Linked DNA regions of Ovis aries. The protein of the gene in region 5 interacts with the protein of the main gene of each other region in a pairwise test. Links are inferred from orthologs where the notes say so. Each region holds a gene or a part of one and is shown on either strand. Other genes may lie near its edges.

What was found.
Region 1: the proteins of RNF11 (region 5) and WWP2 interact in binary tests that used the Homo sapiens proteins (3 or more experiments, as listed by UniProt). The link is inferred for Ovis aries from reciprocal best matches to the Homo sapiens genes RNF11 and WWP2.
Region 2: the proteins of RNF11 (region 5) and UBQLN2 interact in binary tests that used the Homo sapiens proteins (3 or more experiments, as listed by UniProt). The link is inferred for Ovis aries from reciprocal best matches to the Homo sapiens genes RNF11 and UBQLN2.
Region 3: the proteins of RNF11 (region 5) and RNF168 interact in binary tests that used the Homo sapiens proteins (3 or more experiments, as listed by UniProt). The link is inferred for Ovis aries from reciprocal best matches to the Homo sapiens genes RNF11 and RNF168.
Region 4: the proteins of RNF11 (region 5) and RABGEF1 interact in binary tests that used the Homo sapiens proteins (3 or more experiments, as listed by UniProt). The link is inferred for Ovis aries from reciprocal best matches to the Homo sapiens genes RNF11 and RABGEF1.
Region 6: the proteins of RNF11 (region 5) and SMURF1 interact in binary tests that used the Homo sapiens proteins (3 or more experiments, as listed by UniProt). The link is inferred for Ovis aries from reciprocal best matches to the Homo sapiens genes RNF11 and SMURF1.

What each region holds. Positions count from the first base shown.
Region 1 is NC_056067.1:36,523,214-36,525,764, reverse strand, and holds the end of WWP2 (NEDD4-like E3 ubiquitin-protein ligase WWP2), read right to left. Parts: intron 2,346-2,551; coding exon 2,246-2,345; 3' UTR 501-2,245; downstream 1-500. UniProt on the Homo sapiens protein: E3 ubiquitin-protein ligase which accepts ubiquitin from an E2 ubiquitin-conjugating enzyme in the form of a thioester and then directly transfers the ubiquitin to targeted substrates.
Region 2 is NC_056080.1:49,146,004-49,150,277, reverse strand, and holds the start of UBQLN2 (ubiquilin-2), read left to right. Parts: upstream 1-1,474; 5' UTR 1,475-1,798; coding exon 1,799-3,673; 3' UTR 3,674-4,274. UniProt on the Homo sapiens protein: Plays an important role in the regulation of different protein degradation mechanisms and pathways including ubiquitin-proteasome system (UPS), autophagy and the endoplasmic reticulum-associated protein degradation (ERAD) pathway.
Region 3 is NC_056054.1:191,860,600-191,864,759, reverse strand, and holds the start of RNF168 (E3 ubiquitin-protein ligase RNF168), read left to right. Parts: upstream 1-1,360; 5' UTR 1,361-1,696; intron 1,697-2,009; 5' UTR 2,010-2,045; coding exon 2,046-2,346; intron 2,347-4,160. UniProt on the Homo sapiens protein: E3 ubiquitin-protein ligase required for accumulation of repair proteins to sites of DNA damage. Acts with UBE2N/UBC13 to amplify the RNF8-dependent histone ubiquitination.
Region 4 is NC_056077.1:28,693,183-28,697,482, reverse strand, and holds the start of RABGEF1 (rab5 GDP/GTP exchange factor), read right to left. Parts: upstream 2,801-4,300; 5' UTR 2,444-2,800; coding exon 2,307-2,443; intron 1-2,306. UniProt on the Homo sapiens protein: Rab effector protein acting as linker between gamma-adaptin, RAB4A or RAB5A. Involved in endocytic membrane fusion and membrane trafficking of recycling endosomes. Stimulates nucleotide exchange on RAB5A. Can act as a ubiquitin ligase.
Region 5 is NC_056054.1:25,684,247-25,688,506, reverse strand, and holds the start of RNF11 (RING finger protein 11), read right to left. Parts: upstream 2,801-4,260; 5' UTR 2,313-2,800; coding exon 2,190-2,312; intron 1-2,189. UniProt on the Homo sapiens protein: Essential component of a ubiquitin-editing protein complex, comprising also TNFAIP3, ITCH and TAX1BP1, that ensures the transient nature of inflammatory signaling pathways. Promotes the association of TNFAIP3 to RIPK1 after TNF stimulation.
Region 6 is NC_056077.1:37,673,586-37,677,085, reverse strand, and holds part of SMURF1 (E3 ubiquitin-protein ligase SMURF1), read right to left. Parts: coding exon 3,389-3,500; intron 3,234-3,388; coding exon 3,168-3,233; intron 1,762-3,167; coding exon 1,686-1,761; intron 253-1,685; coding exon 5-252; intron 1-4. UniProt on the Homo sapiens protein: E3 ubiquitin-protein ligase that acts as a negative regulator of BMP signaling pathway. Mediates ubiquitination and degradation of SMAD1 and SMAD5, 2 receptor-regulated SMADs specific for the BMP pathway.

The DNA.
Region 1 (2,551 bases), on a different chromosome or scaffold from region 5:
TTGATCCAGGACAAAATCACTTCCATGTCAAAGGCATCGAGACTGCGCTGATGGATCCCATCAGAACCTTTAAGTTCAAAAAAGTGGGCGGCAAGCCCCTGGCTGACCATGAGCTCAAGTCCAGGGTATCCCTCTATCATCACGGAATTCAAGAAAACAGGAAACGTTTCTCAGATGAATGGCTACCCAGGAGCTGGTTCCTAAAACCTGTTCAACTTGCAGCCTCGGGCTGTTGATGCACTGGTGCCATGGCAACTGCTCAGAGAAACCCAGGCCAAAGGTAGCCGTGAGGCAAATAAATGAGGGCTGAAGCCCATGATCCTTAGATGAAGACTGGGCCACCCATCAGAAGTGTGGCTGCCTCGGTTAATGACACACACTTCTCAAAACCAGCAAGGTCATAACATTTCCATTCGTGTAGACCTGGAAGGTCCGTGGGGCCCAGAGACCTTTTGCCTGGAGGACAGTGACTTTGGACACATCCACGCCAACACTGCCCACAGCTGCTGATTGTTTATTGCACAAGAAACTGGCAATACCAAGGGCAAGGGGGTGGGCATTACAAAACAATCTGGTGACCAGCTCAGAGCTACCAAAGGGCATTCCGTACAGACACCTCAGTTATATACACGTATGTACACACACACCCACGTGAACGCACTCTGCACGCCCATGAACCTGAGGCTCCCAAACCCTGCATGGCATGGTGGCTTGTGCCCCAATCCCCAACACGGTGAGACACCGCAGGGAAGCACAGCCAACGATCCGAGGGAAGGAGGAGGTTGGGCTGCAGTGAGCTGAGCCGCTCACATCAGTACACACAACAGAGCAGACACGGGCCAGGGTGGAGAGGGGAGGACGAGGACCTGGGAGCACGAGCCTGTCCTCAGACAACGCCGTGGGTAGCCTGAGGACCTGCACGGGGACCCAGCGACAATCACCACTCCAGCATCCCAGAGGAGTGTGTTCGCCTGAAAGATCTGAACACGTGGCAGGACGCCCACGGCAGAGGTCGGCAGGAGCTCCAGCAATCAAGTCAGACTGCAGAGCAGCTCAGGGCCCTTCTGCTGGTTTCCAAGAGCATCGTCTCTTTTGTGCAGGTAAAGCCACACTTCGAGGCAGAGTGAACACACTCTACAGTAGCAGGAACGCTCTTCATTTTCCATCCGGATGCACGAGCCGCCTGGAGGTCCAGGGTCTTAGCAGGTCAGCCCCACGCACCCCATCACTCCATCTAGCAAAGGGAGTTCTCCTCTCTTGGAGGCAGCGAGGTTGGGGTGACACTCAGGACAATAATCCCCTTCCCCCCTTCTCTGTCAAAGGCTCGGGGATAAGGCTGCTGGGAAGCTGAGCCACTGGGTCAGGCCTGCCCGAGCTCACAGAACTGTGAAGCAGGCTCCTAAGAGGAGCAGCCGTTTGGGAAATTCCTGGACCAACGGTGCTGTGTGCCTCTGGGTCCCAGCCATGCCTGGCGCACCAGCTCCTTGACAGGAAGTGACAGCAGCTTACCAACCACAGAACACAAAGCGGCCCTATGCACAGAATACTTCAAGTTTATGTAAAAGGGAGAGGAAAATCTGAGGGCGTTTCCATCCCCTGACATCCCAGCAGCTGGTAACGACCCTCTGCCTGCTGGCGGGGACACACTGGCCAGCACTGAGTGGAGCACGGCCGTGCTGCTCAGCCTCCTTGGCTGGAGCTGGCTAGCCAGGAACAAGAGCTGACCTTGGTCCAGAGCTCCCCTCCCTCAGACCTTCATTTATATAGATCACTGGAAAAGTTCTATACAAAATAGAACCTCTTTTACTGACAAAGACCCTGGGCTTCCTCAGCCCAGAACAGCTACCCCAAATGGCCAGTCTCCCTCTCACCTAACCAGCCTGTGAGGCCCAGGGCTTCAGCACAGGGCACCCTCCCTTGCACATTCACACAAACCTAGGGTTGGTCTCAAGGGAGAAGGATGAGTTTTCCAGAGAAGGTCAGCCCTCTAGACTTTGCAATGGCTGATGGGGCCAAGGGCGACATGGGGGCTTTATTCCAGACTGCCACCAGTGGGGAAGAGCAAAAGGCAGGGCAGGGCCTCTTGAGGTCAGGCTCTGCTGCCACCAGCCTGATGACAGTGTGGTCCTACACGGGACGACCATCCGTAGGGGCCTCCCGGGGGCTACAGGGCCAGCGGCCTCTCGGGCAAGGAGGACTCAAGACTACACATGTGCTGGGGGTTGGGGGTGGGGGACAGCCTCAGTTACTCCTGTCCAAAGCCCTCGGTCTCCTCAACAGCGTACAGCAGTTTCTCCTTCAGCTGTTCGTAGCTCTTGTATGGCGGCAGGTCCAGCCGGTTGAAACTGTCAAGAAAGGAGAGCAGGGCAATCAGCACAGGGCACGGGTCAGAGCTCTAACAGCCACAGGGGTATTGAGAGATCCCATACTGTGACTCAACCACGATGCCAGCTGGCCACACACAACAGGGTCCTCAAAGGCCCCGCTGTGTCCCTCAACCGTGAAGGGGTTAGAGGAGGGGACAGGGCTACAGGGGAAATGGGGAACTGCA
Region 2 (4,274 bases), on a different chromosome or scaffold from region 5:
GGTTACTAAAGTATTTGTGTCCTAATGCTTCAAATGCTATTAAATGCTGGCAGAAAACTAGGGGGGAAAGTACATTTTTGCATGGTATAAACCAGAATTAGAAATTTATACATAAATTTGAAGTTATTTGTTCTATTATTCAAGTGCTAGATCTTTATTGCTTCTACTTAATCTGTAATTAAGTTAGATAAATATGTTAATAGCTGCCACTACTATTGTATGCCTGTCAATTTCTACCTATAACTTCCCACCAAAATAACTTCTCATTTTTTAAAATTGTAAAGGCAGAGCATACCTATAAAAGCTGTCAGAAAATTAATACATTTATTTTAAAAAAGGGACAATTATTCATAATTTCAGTACCAAGTAATAACCACCATTAACATACTGGTGTATAGTGTTTCAGGGTTCTTTTTACACATTCACCATCTTTAAAGACAGGTTACACATACTAACTGCTTAGAAATAGTTTTAAAATAAAATATACTTGCTGTATTTTTTGGTATTGAGACATAATGATTGTATAATTTCTAACTGTACAGAAATATAAAAATAAAGCTGACAGTGAAAATACTATGTACTTTCCCTATTTCATGTACACTTTGTATCATACAAATAACCACCTATATTTTAAACAGTGCATATTTGTATGGTAATGTAATATATCTGACCAATCTGTGTAAAGATATACTGATTATCTTTTAAAATAATTTTTTGAATACTGTAGTGCATGTACATTTTTTACATATGTATTTTTGCATCCTTATCCAATTATTTTCATAGGTGAGGTCTCTGAGGCACTTCCAAATAAAGGTGGAAATATTTAAAATATTGATATATATGTTAAAATTGCCTTATAACAACCTACACTTCAAAATTAACATTGGAGGACATTTTCTCAGTTCTCTCTCTCCTGAAGATAAGGCTTATTATTATTTTTCATCTTTTCCAATATAAGACAGAAGAAGAATCTCATTGTTTTAATTTGAATTTCTTTGGTTGCCAGTGAGCTTAATCATTCTTTCATATGCCCATTGGCCATTTGCATTTCTTTTGTAAAATGCAGGTTCCTGCCCAGTCCTCTTCCCTTCTAAGGGTGGTGTTCACCTTTCCCTTTTTGCTTTGTTAGTGCTCTTTATTATTAATTGGGGTCGGTTCGATTCAGGCTTTCACCTGTTCACTTTACTGCCTAATGGAATATATATATGTATATATATTTTTTTCTATTAGCTTTTAATGTCCTTTATAGAAGCTTCCTCTCTTTCTTTCCCTCTCTTTTCGCTTGTCTGCTGTTGTCCTTTCGTTTCTTTCTATCTGTTTATCTCTCTGATTTTCTTTTTTGACTACATAAGTTTTTAATTTTGACCAAGTTGCATCTATGATTCTGGGCCTGGCGCCGCCTCAGTAGGGGGAGCAGCGGGGAGGAGAGCGCGGAGCTGGGGGAGGGGAAGGGGCGGGGAGGAGCGGGCGGAGCAGTTGCAGAAGCTGCTGGGAGAGCGCGCGGTGGGATCACACGGCGGCCCGGCGGCGGCGGCGGTGGCGGCGGCGGCGGCGGCGGCGGCGGCGACGGCGGCGGCGGCGGCGGCGGCCCAGAGACCGGAGCGCCGATACCGCGGCCCGCGGCCTACACGGAGCCTTCTTTTCACCGGAGGACCAGTGATCCGCAGTCTTCAACACAGAGGTACTGTGCTCCGCGCTCCCCGCCCGGTCCGGCCCAACCTGCTGTGGCAGTGCCTCCTTCTTTCCTCTCTCTCGCCTGCCGGCGCCTTCCCTGACTGCCTGCGTCACCGCGGCCGCCATGGCTGAGAATGGCGAGAGCAGCGGCCCCCCGCGCCCCTCCCGCGGCTCTGCTGCGGCCCAAGGCCCAGCCTCTACCCAGGCCGAGCCCAAAATCATCAAAGTCACTGTGAAGACCCCCAAAGAGAAAGAGGAGTTCGCAGTGCCCGAGAACAGCTCAGTCCAGCAGTTTAAGGAAGCGATTTCGAAACGCTTCAAATCCCAAACGGATCAGTTAGTGCTGATTTTTGCCGGAAAAATCTTAAAAGATCAGGATACCTTGATCCAACATGGCATCCATGATGGACTGACTGTTCACCTTGTCATCAAAAGCCAGAACCGACCTCAGGGCCAGTCCACACAGCCTAGTAATGCCGCGGGAACTAACACTACCACCGCGTCGACTCCCAGGAGTAACTCCACACCTATTTCCACAAATAGCAACCCGTTTGGGTTGGGGAGTCTTGGAGGACTTGCAGGCCTTAGCAGCCTCGGCTTGAGCTCGACTAACTTCTCTGAGCTCCAGAACCAAATGCAGCAGCAGCTCTTGTCCAGCCCTGAGATGATGATCCAAATCATGGAAAATCCCTTTGTTCAGAGCATGCTTTCGAATCCTGATCTGATGAGGCAGCTCATTATGGCCAATCCACAGATGCAGCAATTAATTCAAAGAAACCCAGAAATCAGTCACCTGCTAAACAACCCAGATATAATGAGGCAGACCCTCGAAATTGCCAGGAATCCAGCTATGATGCAGGAAATGATGAGAAATCAAGACCTGGCTCTCAGCAATCTTGAAAGCATCCCAGGTGGCTACAATGCTTTACGGCGCATGTACACTGACATTCAAGAACCCATGCTGAATGCCGCACAAGAGCAGTTTGGGGGTAACCCATTTGCCTCGGTGGGGAGCAGTTCCTCCTCTGGGGAAGGTACACAACCTTCCCGCACAGAAAATCGTGATCCACTACCCAATCCATGGGCGCCACCACCGGCTACCCAGAGTTCTGCGACCACTAGCACAACAACTAGCAGTGGCAGTGGATCTGGCAGTAGCTCCAGCAGTGCTACCGGAAACACAGTGGCTGCAGCCAATTATGTCGCCAGTATCTTCAGCACCCCAGGAATGCAGAGCTTGCTGCAACAGATAACCGAAAACCCCCAGCTGATCCAGAATATGCTGTCTGCACCATATATGAGAAGCATGATGCAGTCTCTGAGCCAGAATCCAGATTTGGCTGCACAGATGATGCTGAATAGCCCTGTGTTTACTACAAATCCTCAGCTGCAGGAGCAGATGCGTCCACAGCTCCCTACTTTCCTACAGCAGATGCAGAATCCAGAGACGCTATCAGCCATGTCAAACCCAAGAGCAATGCAGGCTTTAATGCAGATCCAGCAGGGGCTACAGACATTAGCCACTGAAGCTCCTGGCCTCATTCCAAGCTTCACTCCAGGTGTGGGGGTGGGGGTGCTGGGAACCGCGATAGGCCCTGTAGGCCCAGTCACACCCATAGGCCCCATTGGCCCCATAGTCCCGTTTACTCCCATAGGCCCCATTGGGCCCATAGGACCCACTGGCCCAGCAGGTCCCCCTGGCTCCACTGGCACAGGCGCCCCCCCTGGGCCTACTGTGTCTAGCGCTGCACCCAGTGAAACCACGAGCCCAATATCGGAATCTGGACCCAACCAGCAGTTCATTCAGCAAATGGTGCAGGCTCTGGCTGGTGCAAATCCTCCGCAGCTGCCAAATCCAGAAGTCAGATTTCAACAACAACTGGAACAGCTCAACGCAATGGGCTTCTTAAACCGGGAAGCAAACTTGCAGGCTCTAATAGCAACAGGAGGCGACATCAATGCAGCCATTGAGAGGCTGCTGGGCTCCCAGCCATCGTAATTACATTTCTGTACCTTGAAAAAATGTATCTTATTTTTGATAATGGCTCTTAAATCTTTAAACACACACAAAATTGTGCTTTACTTTCAGTTTGATTTTTTTCAACTCTGTCTAGTTATAAATTTAATATGCATTTTAAGGTGGAGTCCTTTCCTCCCTCTTTGTTTCCTCCCTCCTTCCCTCTCTCCTTCCTTCCCTCCCTTCCTCTGTTTTGAATGGTGAGAATCAATGCTGTTTTACTCAAAGGTGTTGCATGCAAACACTTCTTTATTCTGCATTTATTGTGATTTTTGGAAACAAATCAACCTTTACAGTTGGGTGAACAAGTTTTGTCCTACAGATGTCCAATTTATTTGCATTTTAAACATTAGCCTATGATAGTAATTTAATGTAGAATGAGAATATTAAAAACAGAAACAGATTAACTGAAACTCTATAATTTGTGGTACAATATTGCTTATTGTGATTTTGGCATGTATTTTTGCTAGCAAAATGCTGTAAGATTTATACTATTTGATCTTTTTTGATATATTTGTACACAGTACAGTAAGCACAATTGGAACTGTACATCTCGATAAATTGCAGCAGAATCTCTGAGCAG
Region 3 (4,160 bases), about 170 Mb from region 5:
AAAATCTACTGTATTTCGTATGTTGATGTGTATTTTCTTTCTGGTACAGTTCCATAGGTATTTTATACTAGAAAGGGAATTCCCACACAGTGATCATATATTTTATAATCTTTTTTAAACAAATGCCATGCAATATGTAGTGTCAACAATAGAAACATTTTAAAGTATGGATCCTGCCCTACAGGCAAAAGTTACTTAATTTAGAAGGTACAAATTCAGGACAACCAGAATGAGTAACACCTTGGAGGGAAGTTAGGTAGAGAAGGATAAATAATACAAGATGTGTTACCTTGCTGGTTCCTCCTTGAAAATAGGTTGGTTGCCAGATACATGCACTTAGTCTTATCCTTCTCCAGACACATTGTTTAGAGAAACCATGCCACAAAAGAGAGAGAGACTGGAACTATGTCTTGGAAGTGTTACTAAATCAAACTTGGGTCTGCAACAAAGCCAATCTACTGACATGCGGTTGTGTTAAGATAAAGTACAGCATTTATTGCAGGGCACCAAATAAAGAGAACAGGCAGCTTGTGCTTGAACAGACAGCATTACCAAGTCCGAGCTGGTTCTACTCACTGACCAATAAGATGGCAAACTAATGTCTCAAAATAACCATCCTATCTGGGTCTGGATGCCAGGTTCTTTTACAGAATGAGTGGGGTGGAGGGGGTGGGGTGAGGAAGAGAAGTAAAAAGCCCCTTCTTCTTGCAAGTATCTCCTAGAATGGCAAGTCTGGGGAAGGTATGTGTCAATTTCTTCCTTCCTGTAGCCATCCACAGGTGAGCAGGGTCCTGAACAAAGGTCCTGATTTAACAGTCAGGCAGAGGGGCAAGGTTCCCTGAGGCAGGCCATCATGTATAAACAGTACAGAAGGGTACTACAGAAAGGTAGGCTGAGGAGTACAGAGGGAAGAATTTTCAAGTTACCGCTCGGGTCTCAGTTTGTTTTGAGGTTTCCCTTTTTCTGCCCAGAGTCCAATCTTGCGACACTGCCCGGTTTCCGCCGTCCCCGGGAGCAGAACCACGCGAGAAAATTAGAGCCACAACGACCCGAGGGGGGCGGTGGCTCACCGGTAAAAGAACCCGCCAATGCAGGAGCCGCAGGAGACAGGGGTTCCATTCCAGGTTTGGGAAGATCACCTGGAAAAGGGCATGACAACCCGCTCCATTATTCTTGCCTCAAGAATCCCAAGGACAGAGGAATCTTTCGGGCCATAGACGATAGTGACGCAGAGTCCAAAAGGACTGGACCGACTTAGCAAGCAAGCACACACGCCTAGCAAGGGGAGGGGCGGGCTCTCTCCCGGCCGGGGGGGCGGGGCCAGCAGGGCAGGCAGTGCGCGCGCAGGCCCGGAAGTCCCGTCTGCGGAATGTTAGCTGTCTGTATCCTTTGTCGGTTTTGTATGGTGGGAGGGGCTGTTTTGGCGGGCAGTCGTGACGCCACTAGCCCTTGCGGGATTCTAAGGCGCCGCCGCTAAGATTAGGCTTTCTGGCTGACTTTAGAGAGGACAAGGGGTGGGCTCAGAATCCGAGTAAGGCGCGAACGCGGACCCGCAGCAGCGGTGAAACGGAAGTCCTGCTCCAACGGAGCCCGCGTCCGGGGGGAGCTGCAGTCTTCCTCGAGCGATGGCCCGAGGGCTGTGCGCCTCGGCGGCCTCCGTCTTGGCTGCCAGGAGCTAAGGGCGCGTTCTCACCTGGTAAGTGGGAGGAGGGGAACTTGGCGCGTGAGCTGGAGCCCACTTTCCGCCCTGCTGCAATGATTGTTAATGCCTGGGAGCAGCCAAGATTCATTTGTTTTCTTTCCGGATGTTTATCTTAAACATGGACAAATACACCGCCTTCCAGGGTCGTACTGTTTACCTGACCTGTAGAACACCATTTTTACTTCTAGACATTTGATGCTTTCAGTCTCTGAATTATGGCAGACTACTGGGCATAATATTTAAAACGCAAAACTGTTACTTTGCTTTTTTCTTATTCGGACCGGAAACAAGATTCTTTCTCTTTCAGGTATTGATGTTGAATATGCCTTATTAGCATATTAAAATGGCTGTACGCAAAGACTCCATCCCTTCCTTGTTAGAATGTCAATGCCAAATCTGTGTGGAAATCCTCTTTGAGCCTGTGACACTGCCTTGTAACCACACGCTCTGTAAACCATGTTTCGAATCGACTGTCGAAAAGGCAAGTTTGTGCTGTCCCTTCTGTCGCCGCCGGGTCTCTTCGTGGGCTCGGTACCGTACCCGAACAAATTCTCTTGTTAATATGGAACTGTGGGAGACAATTCAAAAACACTATCCAAAGGAATGCAAGCTAAGAGCCTCTGGGCAAGAATCAAAGGAAATTGGTGAGTAAAACCCAGCGCGTTTGTTGTCTAAAAACCAAGGTCATTTTGAAAGCCAACGGCCACTAATCCATTTTTTAAAGGATGAAACAGAGAGCCAGTTAGTATTTGTCTAAAATTTTCAGAGGTATTTGGGGTTTTTTGGCCTCAAAATGTTGATTAAGGTCAATGGCAAGATTTTGTTCATTGCCCAGCCTGTGTTCACTTGGTGTTTGTTCGATTAAAAATGAAAAGAAAAACCCAAAACAAAAGAATTGCCCGATAGTCTTCAGTCGGTGTGAAAAGTTATATAAATAGTCTCAGAGGAGCCACAATCGCAGTATAGCAACAGCAGAAGTAAGGATTCTTGTGTTAATGTCTTTTTCACTTTCAATTATTTTCTCTAACTTGCTTGCCTATATATTGCCATTCATTTAATTCTTAAGCTTGCAGGGAGCCTAAAACAGCTTTCTGTGGCTATCTAGTTCAGCCGTTTTTATTCAAAGGTCCTCCACAGTGTGGACTCTTCTTTATGCCCCAAACTGAACACTTTATGTGCTCAATAAGTCATGCGATGTTTTTTGTTTAGGCTTTGAATGCAATGCTTAATACTTACCTTTTTTTGAAATTCTTTTTACTTATTGTCAGTTCAGTTCAGTTCAGTTCAGTCCCTCAGTCATGTCTGACTCTTTGTGACTCCAGGGCCTGCAGCACAACCAGGCTTCCCTGTCCCATCATCAATTCCTGAAGCTTGCTCAAATTCATGTCCGTTGAGCTGGTGATGCCATCCAACCATCTCATCCTCTGTTGATCCCCTTCTCCTCCTGTCCTCAATCTTGCCCAGCATCAGGGTCTTTTCCAGTTAGTCAGTTCTTCCCACCAGGTGGCCAAAGTATTGGAGTTTCAGCTTCAGCATCAGTCCTTCCAGTGAATATCCAGGACTGATTTCCGTTAGGATGTACAGGTTCAATCTCCTTGCAGTCCAAGGGACTCTCAAGAGCCTTCTCCAGCACTACAGTTCAAAAACATCAATTCTTTGGCACTCAGCTTTCTTTATAGTCCAACTTTCACTTCCATACCTGACTACTGAAAAACCATAGCTTTGACTCTACAGACCTTTATTGGCAAAGTAATGTCTATGCTTTTTAATATGCTATCCAACTTGGTCTTAGCTTTTCTTAGTTTGCCATTTTTATCATTTTTAAGTGGACGCAGTAGTGTTAATTACATTCACAGTGTTTTGCAACCATCACCACTATGTTTCCAAAACTTTTTCATCACTTAGCAGCAGACAGACTCTAACCATTAAGCTATGACTCCCACTCTTCCCCACCCCCTTTCCAGAGTTCTCTGTGAATTTGCTTGTTTTTTTAATTTCTGTGAAGCCCCAGTAAAACACACACACCATCTGTTTAGCAGAATTAAACATCATAGACATCATTTACCACAGAATTAGCTCATAAAATGTTCCCATAAACCCCAAAAGATACCAGGACAAATCACCAAAATCAGATCTCCGTGGTATAAGCAAGAAGGAAGCATCTGGGCTGTTTGATGGATCTGAGAACAAAAGAACTTCAGAATAAGCAATAGGTATTCATTGGGAAGGGCTTCCCAGGTGCCTGGGCAGTAAAGAATCCACCTGCTGGATACAGGATGCTTGGGGCTGGTGCACTGGGATGACCCAGAGGGATGATATGGGGAGGGAGATGGGAGGGGGATTCAGGATGGGGAACATGTGTACACCCGTGGTGGATTCATGTTGATGTATGGCAAAACCAATACAATATTATAAAGTAATTAGCCTCCAATTAAAATAAATAAATTTAAAGTTAAAA
Region 4 (4,300 bases), on a different chromosome or scaffold from region 5:
AACTGAACCAGCTAGCTTCAAAAATTATTTATAAAATTTCTATCTGGCTCCTTCCGAGCTGCCCTCTGCCTAGCACAGGGGATGCTGCCAACCAGTGTGAAACAGCATGGAATTTAGAGCCATAAATGCTCTTGCTACATTCTTGCTTCAGGGATTTCAGAAATCTCATTGCCGTCATTTGAAGAAAACAAAAAGCTTAAGACACTCTTAGTGGGTAAAATTTTATTCTATCATGCACTCACACTTAGCATTCTGATCATAACTTCTAACTATAAATGTATCTAATGAACTGAGCATAATTATAGTCCTTCACCCACCTAGTGACCGTAAACAAGTGAGCCATGCTACCAGAGATGAAAAAAAATGTTTTACTACATAATAAAAATTACGCTTCCTATCCCACCAACAGTAACTTTAGCAACAACAGGAATCTCATGGGGTAACTTGAAAGCAGCAGCATAAAGTACAGCATTTTCTTAAGGCATGTTAGGAGCTTTATCCAAATAACAAACAGATAAAATAAGAGCTGCATAATGGTACGTGGGAAAAAGATGAGTCAACTATTATTGTTTTTCCTAAGTGTTTACTCAACAACACTTTAGATTATTTCAAGGCATTTCAGTCAAACAAACAATATATATAATGTTTCCACAATTCTTTAGGACAAAAATGAACATTTAATATGACTTTCAAAATGCCTGGCCTCTGTTGTGAAACTTTTTTTTAGGGTCAGCGCTGGGTTAAGAAGCCACTTAATAGCATTTCTATTCTAAGTCACAGAACAGACAAGTATGTTACACAGACATCTCCAATATTTTAGGCATGGGTCATCTCTGCTGGAGATGTCTACTTTGCAACCAATATAAACACATGTGCCAAAAGTAAAACTTGCATTGTCAAGACAGAAATTCTGTTTCTAGCCAAAGACTGACAAAAGTAAATAAAAACAAGATCTTAGTTCTTCTATTTGTAGCTATCTAAATAAATACGGATTATTTTTTTTTTCACTGAAAATCAACATCAGAAATCCATGATGTCTCAAGTCCTCCAGGAACACTCGGTGAATGCCTGACTTGAATTGAGATGCAAAGAGATAAAAGCAGAATTCCTGTTTATGGAAGTGTACGGATAAGCAAGGTCAGACGCACTCAAACAATTAGTAAATGAACAGACAATTCCATTCAAACACTCAAAATACAAGCTAGCGCAGAATCAAGCACGTTCCTGATCTGCCTGTAAGACGGACATAAAAATTCCAAGTTAACCAGGCAAATAAAATAACCCGCCTCAAAATCCTTCCCTGGTTCTGTCACCGTCAGAGAAAAGGCCCAAGAAACTCCAGCATCTCTGTCCCTCTCTCTGCACTTTTTCCCTTTTAAAAAACCACCTCCTGGGGAGTTACTCTCCTCTCCTCCTTTAGCTGCCCCACCCCCACATTCCCAAGACCCCTAAAATTCTCACCCCACCTCGTCAGTCTGAATAGTACTCATTCTTCAGGACATTTCCGGAAATATTCCCAGGTACCTCCCTCCACACCCCGCAGTCCTTCGGGGCACCTGGGGTGTGGTCCCCACCCCACCCCGCCCCTACTCTTAGCTCACTCTGCTCACCACACTGTATCTCCGCTGTCCCCCTCTCCTGAAGTAGCTAACTTCTAGAGAGAAGAAAATGATTGCTGGGGAGGTCCATAAATGTTCAAATCCTGAACACTTCTTAATCTTCCACCTAAGAACCAGTAACTCTTAAAATTATCGTTATCATTAAATGGATTAAATCAAAATCTTCGGGCATCTCTGGAAAGCTTTCTTGGTACAACTATTTTAATTAGTAACTTTAATAGACTTTTTTGAGTTTGTTTTGCCGTTCTAGATTTACAGGAAAAAAAAAAAAAAGGTACGACTATTTTTACACACAAAACACAAAACTCTCCAGATCCAAAAAACTACCTCCCAGGTGATGCTGTAAACTCATTCTAACAAATGTTCCTGACACCTAATCAATCTCACGGCTAGGCGAGGCCCGGCGCCCACTGACACATTTCCCAACCACAGGGCTTGGTCACTGGCGCTGAGACATCACCAGCAGGCTCTGACCTACTCTCTTCCCCCCTGCCAACTAAACTTCCGTGATGGGCATCTCCTCCCAGACAGTTTGGAAGCAGGGACTTCTCCTAAAAACCCAGGCCCACAACTTCGCCCTCAACCACAGGGCCAAAGTTAGGACTAGTCTTCAGTCCCCGCGCTGGAAGCATTCTCCCAGCTCCGGGACCTTTCCCTCTCCAATACCGACGAGGCTCCCTTAAGTACCTGGCGCCCCTGACAGGCCGGGCTGCGACGGGGTCCCCCAGGGGCCCAGGGCACGACCCACCCGGGAACCACCACAGGTGTCCCTCGGTACTCCGGCAACTGGACAGTGAGGAGGGAGCCGGCCGGAGGGCAGCCATCCCGCGAGGGGTGGACGGTGGCAGAAGGCGGCCAGGAGCCAGACGCGCGTCTGCCCGTCGGAGTTGGGCCGGGCCGCAGAGAACTTGGCGACGAGCGCCCGAAACGGGCAGTCCGAGCAAAGCAGAGGATGAAGGGGGCCGACGACTACTGGGACCGCCCAGGGCCGCGCCGCCGGCCCCGGGGCTGAGACGGAGGACGGCAAGAGACACCGGAGCGAGATGGCCCCAGCCAGGTGGACAGCCCAGACCAATGACCCAGCACCCGCCCTCGCCAAGAACCGCGCCGCCCTCGCCCCCAACCCGTCTGCCCCGTACCTCGCCTGCGGCTCCACCGACGTCAGGTCAGCCGCTCTCCGCGCGTCGCTAGACGAGGTGGCCGGTATTCGTCCACAACCCGCCCTCACGCCGGCCCTCCCTCTCGCAGCCCCGCCCCCGGCGCCGCGAACGCACGCCACGCACGCACGCGCGCACGTCACTTCCGGGGCTTCGGCGCTAGCCGAGAGGACGCGGGTTTCCGTAGGAATCGGCTATTGGTGGAGATGGCGTGGATTCCTGCAGGCGCAAAGCCTAAAGGCGAGGGGAAGGAGACGGCTTCGACGCTGATCCCGGGGCGCTGATCTGGAGCGTTCGGGAGCCGGCGGAGAAGCCGGTGTTTCCTTGTCTTTTTCTAGGAGTAGGCGGAGGACGACGCTGCCCGTATGACACAGCTCCTCCCATTCTTAGCTTGGAATGGGAGGCGGCAGCTGCCTAGGCTCTCGGAGAGCAATGTTTGGGCCCGTAGATGGTTCCAGGCCGCAGGACATGAGGCTGCCTGAGAAACTCATGAATCCCACCGCTTCACCCGGATCTTAGGATTTTTAAAGTTCTTGAGTTAAAGGACCTTAACGAAAGTGGTTGATATAGAAACCAGTTTTACAGCTGAGGGTAACTGAGTTCCAGGAGTTAAAAAGTTAGCCAGTGTCTCGCTATCGGTGGTCGAGTCATAAATGGAATCCATTTCTCCGTGATTCCCATTTCAGGAATGTTGGAGACAGCAGCTGCCTCTGTATTCTGGATGCCATCTATGGCACAAAGAGCAACCACGACTGGGGGAAAAAAAAAAACAAAACAGGGAAAGAAAAAAGAGAAAATGCAATACGGTGTCTGGGAGGGAGATCTGGATTGGAATCCCAGGTTTGCTAAATGCTGCCTCAGTGATCTCAGACAGGTTCCCTAATGTCTCAGTTTTTGCTCATTATTTATAAAATGGAGATTGGTTCTTCCTCAGATTACTCCTAAATGCTGGAGGGTAGTAGAATATGCCACCCCAAAATATGCTTCATTGGCATAAGGATTATTCTGAGAAAGAGACACAGAGAAGCCCTGAAAACCAACTAGAGGTTAACCTTCCGTAAGGGAATCGTACATTTATAAAAGTGTCTCCCACTCTGTACCTAGCAGAGGTGTCCTCTGCTACACTCTTAATACATCACTAGAGACTCATCAATGGAGAAGACACTGGCTTAAACTGTGTAACAGACTTTTAAGCTTGTTTTTCTTCCCCTAGTCACCTCCATAAGTGGTCTCCACCCTCCCCTCGCACCCCCACAACATCTTTCCTCTTTTGTCTTTACCGGAAAATGGTATTTAGGTTGGCATTCTAAGCCTTTTCCCTGGTTAGCTCCTGTGTACATGTGATGGATACGTTAATACATTTCTGTTTTTCTCTTGTCACTCTTATTTTATAAGGATTTCAACCAACTCAGAAAAGCAGAGAGAAAATTATTTTCCCTCCCCTACCACACCTAAAGTATGCTCTGCTGAGGATAGCAGACTATTGAGGGAAAAAAAAAGTACCTATGCTGAGAAGCTTACATT
Region 5 (4,260 bases):
AAACCCTCTCTTTATTATCTTATCCTCCTGGAAAAGGCAAATATTGAATACAATCTCCATAAATTCTAAAGAAGTTATTCTTAACAATGTATAAGATATACATGTATTTAAGAGAAAGAGTACAATAAGTTGAAGGTATTTTACTTGCTTATAAGAGGACTAAGGAATATAGGAGATTCTGAAATAAAAACTCGTACCTCTAAAAAATTTTTTTCATGAAATGGAAATAAGCACATTGTCCTATAAACATTTATGAAGGAAATCAAGAGTGAAATTTGAAGGAAAGTAAGAGTGAAACAATTTACTTGCTTCAAAGACTCAGGAAAGCACTTAGATTTGGTTTGGATTTTTAAAGAGACTTCTCCTGTGACAATTCTTTGGAAGAAATGGGTGTGTAAACTTACATAACAATACTCCATTTAAATTCATTAATTCACTCAACATTTAAGTGTTCATGAGCCAGAAACTGCACTAAGCACTGGCGGGTAGTCCCTGTTCTCAAGGGCTTAGAGTTTTCCCTTATTCCAGTTACTGAGCAACTACTATGAAGCCAGATGTTGAGGATACAACAAACAGGAAACAGAGTTCCTACCTGCATTCAGCTTATACTGGAGAAGGAGGGAAATGCCTCAAGAATGAGACACACATCTAACTTAACAAGGACAACATATAAGTGTTATATGCGTTGCTTTTGAAAGTGCAGACACTTCCTTCAGGGGAGACACAAAGAAGGGAGTGATTGATTCAGGGCGAAAGGGAGGGGAATTTAGGAACTTCAGATACAGCTCAGCTGAGTCCTCAAAGAGGATTACACGCTCACCTGCTGACCTTGGGGGAAGGGTTCCAGAGAGAGCAATTGGAACTAAGGCAGAGAGGTGTGAATAAGCTGTTGTGTTTGACAGGCCTGGAATATGAATGTGAGGGATAAATCATGGAGTCTTCTGTAAGCCACATGAAAAGACTGGACTTTACCAGCATATATGAAAGGCCCCTGATGGGTTTTATTCAGAAAACCAGCATTTGTGATCAGGTTTTTCTGGTGTGGTGAGACACTGATTAACATAGGAATGAGAAAAGAATAACACTAGATAATGATGTCACCACATGAAACAACAAAGGAGACTGCCCAGTTAGAAAATTAAACCCCAATCAGGAAAAAAAATTAAGCCACTTAACTATCCAAGTCCTTCTGGTAAAGTTTTTAATCAACATCTTGAAATAGTAGAGGAAAGGTTTATATATATATTATGGATTATAACATCTACCTATCTATTTTGAGTTTTCTAAAGAGGGCTTCAGCTCTTTACAAATCGTGTAAAGACATCTGGAGCTGCTGACTGCTGCACAAAAAGCAGTGAAGTCATTTAGAAGACAAGTCTTTGATACACACGGAGAAACCATGAGTAACAGAAGGTATTTCTCAAGTAAGGTTTAAAGGTTTCCAAAGTTCAAGATAATCAAGTTCTCTAAATCAGCGCGTTTAAAAGGTGTGTCACAGGGGTGGAGCAAAAAGAGGAGGGGTTCAGAATTAATACTGTTGTTGCTGTTCAGTCGCTAAGCTGACTCCTACAATTAGTATAAACACACACACACACATAAATATGTATACATATATATGTAAAGAAGCAACTCCATGTTGCTGGAACCAAAATCACTACTTGAAAATCTCCCAAGCACAGGAAGAAATGAACGCCTACTAAATTCAATGAATACAGACAGACGAGAGGGAGGAGAGGAGGATCACACTTTAAAGTATAAATGGGATGTATGTGTGGTGGGGTGGGGTAGTGGGGGGAGGTTAACCACTTATCCAGAACCCATAATCCAGCCGGTGATGAGGAAATCACCTTCGAACCTCACAATGCACATATAAAGGCATGAAAATATCACTTCCGAACTCCACAATCTAGCCACCAGTCACTGGCCAAGGGGATATAGTCACACACTCGAATCCCAGAACTCAAGGACAGAAGTATCCCCACACTGCTCGAAGGGAGGTGAAGGATTCCCCCTACACTGACGATGGGATCAATCACACTTAAACCCAGCCCTAAGGGGGTCCAGTGCCTCTCAGGCCGGGTGTTGCCGAGGCCAGGGACAGTGACAGACAGCCCCGAAGCCCCCACAATCTCCGCCAGAGCCGCCTCTACTCCTCGCACCCCCCTTCCCCAACACACACCCTCCCCTACCTGATATGGCGGCGGCGGCTCCTGATCCGGCTCCGTCCCCTCGCCAAAGCTGGCCCGGTCGGACTGAGACTCGTGAAGCAGGGAGATGTCATCCGAAGTGGGGGACTTGAGGCAGTTCCCCATCTTCTGGAGCTGGGGTGTGTGATCTGGGGGAGGAAGAAAGCAGTGGCGGGGTCGTTCGCACGCTCCGCGGTCAGCCTCGGTCAGCGAGGTGGGGTCGGGCGGCAGGCCGGGGTTCAGGCGGCAGCGGCTCCCCCGGCCCCCGGCGCCGCCGAAGGGCAGCTCATGCCAGTCCCTGGGGCTGGGGGCTTAAGGCTGGGCCGCGGGTTTCCCGGGGTCGCGGCGGTTGCCTCCTGAGGCGGCGGCAGTGGGGGGGGGGGGCGGGGAGACGAAGCACTTCCCCACCCCGCCCCCCCGCGGGGCGGCGGCGGCCACGGAGCTGCTGGGCCTAATCCAGGTCAGGAGTGGGGGGGCGCAGCCGTCGCGGCTCCCTCAGCTGCTGCCTCAGCTGCTACTGCTGGCCCCGCCGACGCCGGAGCCGCAGCCGCGGGCCTCATCCTACTCCGCTTCGCAGCGGCGGCGGCGGCCAGAACGAGGCCAGCTGCGGCCCTGCGTCACGCCGCCGTGCGTGCCCTGGTCCCGCCCCCGGCGCTGGGAGGCGTGGGTAGCTCCGGCTGTGCTCCCTGCTCCTTTGCCACCCCCCTGCCCCTCCCCCGTCCCCAGCAGCTGTTTCTGGGGCTGCGTCAGTTTCTGCTTCTCTGACAGCCTGGGACGCGATTCCGATACCTCTTTTGGGTCTTCGGTTCCTCCCCACGCGCTCTGCTCCCTCTTCGCTTGTCTCAGCTCTTAACTGTGCGTTGTTTTGACAGTCTTCTGGCCACCTTCTGCCAAGTAATCCATTTTAAAACCCATATCTGAATGGATTACTCCCATGACTAAAATATTAAAATATTCTATCCCTTCAGAATAAAGTCCAAACTCACTACCTCCCCAGTCACTTTGCAATCCTCCTACATCACAGTCAGAAGAATTCTTCAACCGATTATTCTATTTATTTCTATTCTTACCACCATAGTACAAGCTACCGTCATTTCTCTGCTGTAATACTTTGAACTATTTCCCCTGCGTTCGCCATTGCCCCCATTCAATTTACTATTTGTACAGTTATCTTTTTAAAATGTAAATCTGATCAGGTCATTCCTGTAGGAGGAATTTAAGCCTTTTAAAACATTCATTAAAAACTTCCCAATACTGTTATGACTGAAGTATTAATTCTTAAATGGTTTACAAATCTGGCTACCTCCCCAGTCTCATTTGTGGCCTTGTTCCCTCACATATTCTAATCTTTAGGATGTCTGAATAGTTTTCAGTTATCTAGAAGACTATTCCCTCTGGCTGAGGTCTTTACCTATGATGTTTCTCTGACATAAACTCACTTCTCCCCACTCCTGAGCTTATACCTTCCATCAAACTATATCCACACTTGTCCTTCTTGGACTCAACTTTGATTCCACTGGGAAGCCTGTCCTCTAACCCTCCTGTCTGGGTTAGTTACCTCCTCTGTGCTCATAGTCCCTGAGCACTCAGTTCCTGAGTCCCTGTGAGTCTCTATCACAGCCAGATCAAGCTGAATCTGCCCCTCCTCTGTACAAAGACCTGGCACATTGCCTGAGGCAGAATAGCCTTTCTTCTTAACCGAAATAACAAAGAGTTCAAGAGGCAATGTATGTAGAGGGAGGAAATAAGAAAGATGAGAATGCTCTAATATTCATTCAACGAGGGGAAAAGAGGGTCTTGACTGTCTTTTTTTCATTCTTCATTTACTTTTTTTTTTTTTTTCCCCACTAGACTCTATATTAGGCACTAAGGAAATCTGGCTTATTCTTGATGGAGCCCAGAATCCACCTAGGAAGATATGTAAACAGTGAGGTCTCCTGCCACCCCCAGGACAGGTTTCTAGAGGGCACTGCTGCTGCTGCTGCTGCTAAGTCGCGTCAGTTTTGTCCGACTCTGTGCGACCCCATAGACGGCAGCCCTCCAGGCTCCTTTGTCCCTGGGATTTTCCAGGCAA
Region 6 (3,500 bases), on a different chromosome or scaffold from region 5:
GCACCCTCACCGTAGCCTTCGGGCAGCTCCGGCGACTGGTGGCCGTGAGGCCGGTTCTGTGGCGTCTGGAGCGACCCTCGCACCTCAGGGTTTCGCAGTCGCTGGGCCTGAAGTCTTTGGTCTTGACTCGGGGATTCCACAAACCTGCAGTTGCCCCCGCCGGCCGCAGCCCCGGGGCCATCCGTGTACGGGGCTGGCTCCTCCATGAAGCAGCTGAGGGGCCTTCCAGGCCCGGAGTCTTCATACACGGTTCTGGAAGGGGGAGAGCACAGCCCACGTGACCACACCCGCCGAAGCCGGGGACGCGCCCCCAGTTCCCGCCACACTCTCACGCCTGTTTATTCTGCTTCTCTTAGACAATACAGAATGTCCCCCGGGCTTAGCTTCATAAAATTCATCCTGTCCTTTTTCACTGGGAAGCCGAACTTGTTCACGAAGAATCAGTGGCCTAAGGAAGCCATGTGTTAAATGCCACTGAGGCCAAGGTAGGATTTCAAACTTGGGGATAGCTGAATGGTTGGAAAACACCAACCTTGAATGTAAGAAGTTCAGAAAAGGAGATTTCAACTTTCTTGACTTGGAATCAAATTCAAACATTACATTTGCCTTGTCATTTTATAATAGAACTCCTGGTTACATCAAATATTACAATGACTTTAAAAGTGACTTTTAACATAAATCCTCATCCCCTGAACAACTGTGAAGACAATTTACCTTAATAGGCTATTTTCCCTTTTAAGCAAGTACTTTTGAAAAACATTTTACACTGGAAAATTTCAGAGAAACACAGAGAGGGACTAGCTCAGTGAGCGCCCTGCAGTCTTCACCACCTCCGATACCACCCCGTGGCCGCATGTCCAGCTCCTCCCCCTCCACTGGATTATTCGGAAAACAATCCCCACATTTTACCATCTCATCCTTAGCTATTTCGGCACATAGCTCTGAAAGACAGGCCTTTTACCATTAGCATGATCCCAAAAATGGGTCGTCATAATGCCAGTCTATATTCAAATCTCAACAGTCCACTATCTCATTAATCAGGGTCCAAATAGATCCACACACTGCATCTAGTAGGTGGGTCTCTTAAATCCTGTTTATTAAATTTGCAGGTTCTCTTCCTTCCTTTTTATTCCCTTCTTCTCCTTGCAGCGTATTTGCCGAGGACACTGGCTTAGGTCTGCTCCAGTCTACAGGGAGCCCCACTTTTGGATGGGGTTTGCTATAGTCCCCTGGGGCTGGGCAGCCCATTCCCACCCCTGGGGCCCCCAAGACCTGTGTTCACGCCAGGTTCTTTCCTGATGGTGTCCACAACTATTAACGGCATTAAGAGTTAATTCATCGGGGATCGGAAAATCATGGTAGTGACCAACGAGAGCTCCTGACAGCTTTGGGGGTTTGGTTTTTATAACATTTCTTTCTGTATCGCCATGAACTCCACGGATTGGTGTGATGTGCTGCAGTTATCATTCTTGGCCAATGCTCTCAGGCCAGTGGGAACCTCTGTAAACTGGACCCTGAGTCTTTGGGGCACAAGCCTACTCGTCTTGACAGCTTCCTTTACAGACAAGGCAACTGGGTCGCAGCTGCACCCCGAAGTCCCTCCCTGCACCTCAGGCACTCAAGGCAGTGACAAGGTGTGAGGGGCGCCCTCCGGCAGCGCGAGCGCCGGCGGCCGGGGCACGCACCCGTCACTCTCCAGCAGGCCCCTGCAGTCCACCACAGAGCCGCCGGTGCCGGTCCTGTCTCGTGTCTGTAGGCTGACTGAAAGGAAAGGACACTCGCATTAAAATCCAGGGATACTCTACACGGCTGCAATACAGTGAGCCACTAGAAATGCATCATTCATATACGAGATGATTCTTAAAGGGAGGCGTCTGTCTCCGCACTCACGTTACACATGCCTGTGCTTTCAAGTATGAGACATTTCACTCAGGGGCTCCACACGCCACACACCACCCGGACCCTTCCTCGTGAACGTGGAACAGAAGGAGGTGCTGTGTTTTCCACGATCTTCATAAAAATAACACAATATTCACTTTTTCCAAGTTATTTTGTTTTTTAAAGATTCCAACTTGTGCTGGATAAGGACACAGAGAGCACTCTTTGCACAGTCTACATGCATCTGTGTATCTACTCTCCATCCCTAATACAATCAACAAAGACACTGATGAAGTTGCTTCCAGACACTGGTTTTGCCCTGCACATCCCTCCACAAAGAAAAGGAGACATCACAAACAAGCAGAGAGTGAGAACTCTGTCATCAGGAGAGTCTGCAGGATGGATACTCACTGTTCATTTATCCTGGGTCAGATCTACATAGCTGACTCATTGGAAAAGACCCTGATGCTAGGAAAGATTGAGGACAAGAGGAGAGGGGGCAACAGAGGATGAGATGGTTGGATGGCATCACTGACCTAACAGACATGAGTTTGAGCAAACTCTGGAAGATAGTGAAGGACAAGGAAGCCTGGCGTGCTGTAGTCCTTGAAGTTGCAGTCAGACGCCACTCAGCAACTGAACAACAAGTTCTACACAAGACAAGTCATTCTGTGTGCCACTGAAATACTATGGGGTGGTTTCTGTTTTTTTTTTTTGATTCCCTGCAATGCAGGGTCAATATCTGAGTTACTCTGAAATGTGTGGATAACAGGATGAACTGCTTAACCAGCAAATTAACTTCCAGCAGAGTATGTCTAGTCAACATTTCGGAGCATCAGCATGTTTCGCGCCTTCATTCTAAGTCAGTCAATCTTCTGTAAAATCATAGGACACAGAAGTCTTCAGAAATCCCGCTGCCTCCTACATGTGGACCGGTCTTCCTGTGGAGCTGTCTCAGCTCGTGCATGCGCGGCCACCACGTTTACCATCTGCGCTTGGGTAGCGGGACAAATGTGAGGACTAAAATTACATCAAAAATTACAACCCTACATCTTTGTGTACCTTAGTCACTTTAACTCCACCTAGAACGACTAAATGAAGGGAATCGGATAAAGTAACAAAAACCACACAAGATGAAAGTTTCTAGTACTGGAGAGATGGCCCCCAAATGCGGCTTGTCCTTCGCGTATGTCACCATGGGTCAGTGGCTTTGTGTGTTTTCTCAGTGATGAAGAGCTGGATGTTAAGTTCTGTAAAAGTTATCTCTTTAGAGATGAGAAAGTTCTTACCCACTATTTGGCCACGAACTGCATCAGTATCTGAGGGGTTTAGTTTGCACAGATCCAAACGCTGGTCTGCAAACAAACAATTCAAAACTTAACCTGGGGAATGGTAACTAGGGAGGAGGGCGGGAATTCTGTATTCAGTATTCAAAAATAATAATAAACAAAATGATGGCTCATAAGCCTTCCTCAGTGCATTAAGAGGCAGAAAAGCATTGGGCTCTTACAGCCAGTGTCTTTTAATCTGCTGACGGCATTGGAGAGCAGCCGCACACACCCCAGGAAGCCGGCTCCCTGCTTCTTGTGAACCTTCTTGTGGTTCCACACACTGATGGTTAT